2 linked regions of the Saccharomyces cerevisiae S288C genome follow. The gene in region 2 interacts genetically with the main gene of each other region. Each region holds a gene or a part of one and is shown on either strand. Other genes may lie near its edges.

The links. Genes that interact genetically often act in the same process or in processes that back each other up.
Region 1: mutations in HSM3 (region 2) and NAS2 impair growth when combined (synthetic growth defect), as found in Saccharomyces cerevisiae (4 studies listed by BioGRID, with this or other methods).

Annotation. Positions count from the first base shown.
Region 1 is NC_001141.2:342,430-345,557, forward strand, and holds NAS2 (Nas2p), read right to left. Parts: upstream 1,228-3,128; coding exon 565-1,227; downstream 1-564. Other genes in the region: ubiquitin-related modifier URM1, read left to right, coding at 107-406; YIA6 (NAD+ transporter), read left to right, coding at 1,633-2,754. UniProt on the Saccharomyces cerevisiae protein: Acts as a chaperone during the assembly of the 26S proteasome, specifically of the base subcomplex of the 19S regulatory complex (RC).
Region 2 is NC_001134.8:746,137-749,896, forward strand, and holds HSM3 (Hsm3p), read right to left. Parts: upstream 1,668-3,760; coding exon 225-1,667; downstream 1-224. Other genes in the region: UBX7 (Ubx7p), read right to left, coding at 1,925-3,235; serine/threonine protein kinase CHK1, read left to right, coding at 3,458-3,760. UniProt on the Saccharomyces cerevisiae protein: Involved in DNA mismatch repair in slow-growing cells. Acts as a chaperone during the assembly of the 26S proteasome, specifically of the base subcomplex of the 19S regulatory complex (RC).

The sequences.
Region 1 (3,128 bases), on a different chromosome or scaffold from region 2:
AATGAAATACTACTGGCAGACGGTATGGAGAGCTCAAAAATTCCCAAAGCAGAAAACAATACTGATTTCTGATACTAAAACGAGATAGGTTAATAGCAAAATCGGGATGGTAAACGTGAAAGTGGAGTTTCTAGGTGGACTTGATGCTATTTTTGGAAAACAAAGAGTACATAAAATTAAGATGGACAAAGAAGATCCTGTCACAGTGGGCGATTTGATTGACCACATTGTATCTACTATGATCAATAACCCTAATGACGTTAGTATCTTCATCGAAGATGATTCTATAAGACCCGGTATCATCACATTAATCAACGACACCGATTGGGAGCTCGAAGGCGAAAAAGACTACATATTGGAAGACGGTGACATCATCTCTTTTACTTCAACATTACATGGTGGTTAAAAATAGCAGCAAATAATTTTTAAGAAGCAGCTACATATATATATATAAAGTGCTGTACAGCTTGAATGAATCACAAGTTAGATAACGTAGGTAATATGCAGATAGTATAAAAAGTAATAGTAATAACTGGATTGGTTTTTTTTAGTACATGACGAAGATTATAGCTCTTGTATCCTACAACCCAAAAGACCTCTACCATTCCAGTTTCTCGAAGGTGTTAGCGATGTCTTTAGGATTTGCCCTTCTCTCAAGAGAAGGACGGGAAGTGGCCTGTCTTCATTTTTCATTACAACCATCTGAATGTTTTGAAGTTTAGAGTGGTTTGCCGCATGCACATTACCAATAGAAATCAGCTTATCATCAACCTTTATGTCTGCTTTATCTGAAGGGCTACCGGGTACTACCTCACTGATAAATGCAAAAGGGATGGTATACTGAATAGCTTGATCGTCGTTATTCCTTCTTGCATCTTGGTTTGACTTAACGTTCATATTATCAAAGTGCTGGTTTAGTAAGACGTGTGATCTTTGCAAAAGGTGATTTAAATCATTCTTCAGCATATTAACATTCTTTCTGATCATAGTGACTTGCAATACATCGACATCCGAACGAGGATACCCGTCTGGCGTCACCAACGCAGAGTCCATGCCGATGCCTTGCTGCTCAAGCACACTGAAATACGCCTCTAGTTGTGTCTCAATATCTGTCTTTAGAACCATCAATTCCGACAGTTTGAAGCTGTCTATTTGACTAATTCTTGATGTTAGGCTCGGATCTATCTTAACATTGGCCAACAATTTACTTAATTCTTCTTCCTCCATTGTAGTTCGTTCTTATTCTAATTCTTGCTCCTTTTTACTCTGGTGATAACTTTTCTATCTCTCAATGCTGAACATTTTTTTTCCCTTTATTATCCAATATTCCAACCGTTATAAAGTAAGCCTTATCGAACACAATCCACGGCGCACGCAAGGGACAGCAAATTTCGAGAATTAATGAATAGCCAGTAGTAAGATCCGTATTGATAAAGGTCATAGATCCCAACCTTTATGTGAGCCAGCCCGAAGGGCCCTTTAAATGACTCTCATAATATGGTCCAATAGCACCAATTTCTAGGGGTTACCCACCGGCCTAGTGCTTAATCGAATTCTGAAAAGAATCTCTACTACAGACTGCCAACCGTAATAGTAGTGAGATCAACACTGAAGGCAGCAGTCTTTAGCACAATGACACAGACTGATAATCCTGTCCCCAACTGCGGTTTACTGCCCGAGCAGCAGTATTGCTCTGCAGACCATGAAGAGCCACTGTTGTTGCATGAAGAACAATTGATATTCCCTGATCATTCCTCCCAACTGTCCTCAGCAGATATCATCGAGCCCATCAAGATGAACAGCAGTACTGAGTCAATTATAGGGACAACGCTGCGAAAGAAATGGGTACCACTATCCTCAACTCAGATCACAGCTCTTTCCGGCGCATTTGCTGGATTCTTATCAGGTGTGGCAGTATGTCCCCTCGATGTTGCCAAAACGCGATTGCAAGCACAAGGACTACAAACTAGGTTCGAGAACCCCTACTATAGGGGGATAATGGGGACATTAAGTACTATAGTAAGAGACGAAGGCCCGCGGGGCCTCTACAAAGGGCTGGTACCGATTGTCCTGGGCTACTTCCCAACCTGGATGATATACTTCTCCGTGTATGAATTCAGCAAAAAGTTCTTTCACGGCATCTTCCCACAGTTTGATTTTGTTGCTCAGTCATGTGCTGCAATCACGGCAGGCGCTGCATCTACCACCTTGACCAACCCAATCTGGGTTGTGAAGACAAGACTTATGCTGCAATCAAACCTCGGTGAGCACCCCACACATTACAAAGGCACTTTCGATGCATTCAGAAAGCTATTTTATCAGGAAGGGTTTAAAGCATTATATGCGGGGCTGGTCCCCTCATTATTAGGGCTATTTCATGTGGCTATCCATTTCCCTATATACGAAGATTTGAAGGTAAGATTTCACTGCTATTCTCGGGAGAACAACACCAACTCCATCAACTTGCAACGGTTGATCATGGCATCGTCCGTCTCTAAGATGATTGCATCAGCAGTAACATATCCGCACGAAATTTTACGAACCAGAATGCAACTGAAATCAGATATACCAGATTCCATTCAACGACGTCTGTTCCCCCTCATTAAAGCAACTTATGCACAAGAGGGACTAAAGGGATTTTATTCTGGATTTACTACTAACCTAGTACGAACCATTCCGGCCTCGGCAATCACTCTAGTGTCCTTTGAGTATTTCAGAAACCGCCTAGAAAATATTAGCACTATGGTAATTTAAAGCCTTAAAATTCACACACGCCACACATTGAGTGTGCTATGAATATGCCTGCGCTAATATTTTAGGTATTACAGCTTGTAAATATACCAAATAAGGTAAGCCTCTCTTTTCCTAATACTAAAAGGATTTGCATCGAACAGCCCACCAAATGCTTTGCGCACACATTATATACACCCACATGATTCTATAGACAAAATATACTTATACATTTTCATAGTCTTGACAATATTCTACATTGGCCGTTTTCTTGGCACTATTTTAGCTTATCCTTACCAAAATAGTCTCTTTTTTAAATACTATTTTTGAAGCGGAAATAGGTGCGAACAAATGAATGGCTTCAATTTAGTGCGATAAAGACGTAAAGCATAAACCAG
Region 2 (3,760 bases):
CGAATAGTTTTTCTTTATAATAAAAATCATGCATGCTACATAGACATTGAAATGTGAATTATAAGTACTTGCCAGACCTTACATACTGATTTATACAATTTATGGAGAAGAAAACTGAATGGGCCACCTCGCCAAAAGGTTAGTTTTTGATTCAGACAGGAATCAATACTGGTAGTACATTAAACAATCAAGGCCGCCTTTATAGTTGCGCTTATGCAACATAATCATCTGCAATCTGCAATCTTAGTTTCACTGCCTGTGGAATAATTTTTTCCGTTAACTGCTTTGGAGTATTCTCGCAATAAAGGTTCATACCATACACTTAACTTTTCTTCACCTTTGTCCAGTAAATTTCTCAAGGCAGAATTCCTATAATGCACAGTCTCAAGATCTATAATAGCACCTGCGCTCCCATCACCTATCAAGCTGCCCATCACCTTTGGCATCTCATTGAGCAGAAATTTTGAAGTGTATTCGTATCTCGTCAAGGTTTCTACTACTTGCATTTGTTCTAAGTACGGTAGTCTTAAGACAATCTCAGCACTAAACTTGTTTCTTATAGCATTGAAACATTCTTCATCTGCTGAAAGATTTCTCAACATTCCAATGCTGTAGCCACTGACGTGAAAATAGTTTTCGACCACATCTTTATGATATTTTACCAAGTACTGCGGATTAATTAATTCCAACCACTCGGTTATTAATTTTGCTTCGGACCCAATTTTTAAAGAATCTTTGTCCATAGTCTTGAATAAAGAATATTCATCTTCCTCAATTCGTGACACCTCTGCGAATAACTGTAAAAGACAATTTGTAGAAAAGGCCCTGACATCAGGATAGTTCTCCGTGTCTTCAAAAAGTTGAGCAAATACTGGCAGTATTTTTTTTACATGTCTTAAAGCCCAGTATTTATCTTGATTTCGTATTTCCAGCAAAAACTTAGTATAATAATTAACCAATTCGATGAAAACGAGGATATCTTCAACGGATTTCAGTATCTCTTCTTTAGTAAAGCAAAATATGATATCCTTGAACTCAGGACCGCTGATGAATTGAAACTCAATAGTCAAGAAGTCAATTAATCTGACAAAAGAAACCGTTTCCATTCTACCCTTTACGCTCACCAGGTATGGCAAATTATTATCAAATAATCGACGCCTAATCAATTCATCTGTACTCAACCTTTCCAACGCTTTTTCGATTGCTGTAATGAGCTTATCATTCTCCACTTTCTCATCAAATAGAATATCCAATAGAATATCGATGATATTACTGGTCGCGAATAAACCCTTTGGCTGCGAATTCTCAATGACTCTACATGCTGCTACTTTTAATGGATCTATTTCTGACCTAAGGGCCTTCACTAAGTCCTCCGCGCTATAAACTTCTAGAACATCGTCAAAATCAGCCATGGGAACAAGCTTGTCCACAACGTCCAAAAGGTAATCGTAATTCAATGAATCATAGGATACGTTAGACGTCAGAAAACGCTTGATCGTAGCCAGTAGTGGTTTAACATCCATATCTGGAAGGGAGACAACAGTCACAAGATTCAAAGAACATTTCCTTAATAGTGTGTTGATATCTTCAGGCAAGTTATCTTCATTAAGTTCATTTTCTAATTGCGTAAGGAGATTTTCCACGTAATTTGTTTCTTTCTCACTCATTGCTCCTGTTTCGCTGAGTTCTTTTGCGGTGATTATAGTTGTAAACTTGTTTTATTTTTAATCCCGTAATTAAGGTGTTTATATAAACTTACTCTTCAATTTTTCTATATGCATTTGAAACAGAAAAAAAGATATAAAAATACCAGCTATAACAAAAATCCATGTAAATAAAATTACTGTATATTTTTTTATGTAATCTAATCAAAAAAAATTCACGTCTAATACTAGTCATAAATGGAGTTGAAGCCATTAACTACTTATTTTTTATCTTCGTCCTTTTTCTTTTCTAAATGGACATTATTACCATTAAAGGTTGTTGGGTCTTCAGGATCTTCTTGATGATCGTTGTTAACAAATTGGAAAACATTTGGCGAGACAGAACGTGACGTAGTAAGGTTGGTTTCCGATGGGTACCTGGTTCCGCTAGGTGTCAGCATTGGTGATGCATGAGCAGATGATTGAACTGGTTCCCGAACATTGTTGTATTGGAAACAGCTTGACGAAGCAGCTCCAGATAAAGGTGTTGAAGACCTCACTTCGTGACGATTCGGCTTCGATGTTTCCTCACGTTGTGATGTTACTTCAGGATCTTTATCGTTGTGCCACCACGTAGAGAATCCCTTATAAAGACGGCCCAAAAGGCTTGGTCCCTCCATCCCAGTCACAGATAGCCCCGAGTTTTGAGTTTCTAGTGGTTTAAGTAATAATGCAGACCTTGGAGTTAGTTCTAGTGTCTCTAGCGTCTTCAATTCATCAGAATCCTTAAATGTCACTCTGGGAATGCCCCTGTGGAATGAGTACGGGCAGTCTCCATCTGTCCTGTTGACGTCCACCCATTTTCTAACGTCATTTAATGTTTCAGACGAGTTGAACTCATGTTTTAGAGTCTTGCCATCAGTCATCCTGATTTGCAAGACGCATTTGCTGCTGTGCAGTTTTTGTGCGTCTTTTATGTAATCATGAACATCCAATGGCTTATCATCATCAAGGGTTCTGTGATGAGTTTCATCAAGAGCTTTTCTTTCTGCACGGTCTGCCCTAACAAGTCTTATAATTCTTTCTCTTTCCTCCTCAGCCAGCTTTCTTTGTTTCAGTTGTTCACGACGTTGGATCTCTAAGGTAGTCTCAGCAATCCGTTCTCTTGCATTTTTCCTATGGACGTCTCTGGATGACTTTTCTTCTCTAGCCAAACCTGGATTGGTTTCCCTGGACGAACTCTCACCAGCCTTTTTGTCTTTGATGCCTATGCACGCCAGCAACTTCTCCCAATGTCGGTCATCCTCGCCTTGAATAATCAATTCTATCTTTCCAGCACGTATCAAGTATATACTGGGTACAACTACATTAGGAAATACTTGCTCAAATAACTGGAACTGCTCAGTGTCTTTGACCAACCTCAACCAAATACTATGTTCCGCTAAAGTATCTAATGAGACATCATCTCCTTTAAACCAACTTTTCAGCCACTGGTCATCCCGTGCAGTGTTGTAAACGGCCAGCACAACGCCTTCCTTGATGGAATCGTTTATTGCTTCTTCCACAGAATCTCTAAACAGTGCTTCTAACATTTGGTTACGGCTGTTTGGTTTAGCTATCCTTGCTTCTTTGTAAGTGCTTTCAACCTCAACCCAGCTCCCTTTTAAATTTTCAACATTACTACGAGGCCTGCCGAAGTTAATAAAGAGCGGCTTTAAATGTCATTTTAATAATTGAATGGCAAATAAAAACAACTACAGCTTCAAACATAAGAGTATATCATAAGTTGCTGTATATGGGCAGCACGTATTACTATGAGTCTCTCGCAGGTGTCACCTTTACCCCATATCAAGGATGTTGTTTTAGGAGATACAGTAGGCCAAGGCGCATTCGCCTGCGTTAAAAATGCTCATCTTCAAATGGATCCCTCCATTATTCTAGCTGTTAAATTCATTCATGTTCCCACTTGCAAAAAAATGGGACTCAGTGACAAGGATATCACAAAAGAGGTTGTTTTGCAATCGAAGTGTTCTAAGCATCCTAATGTTTTGAGACTTATCGATTGTAATGTCTCTAAAGAATATATGTGGATAATTCTGGAGATGGCAGATGGTGGT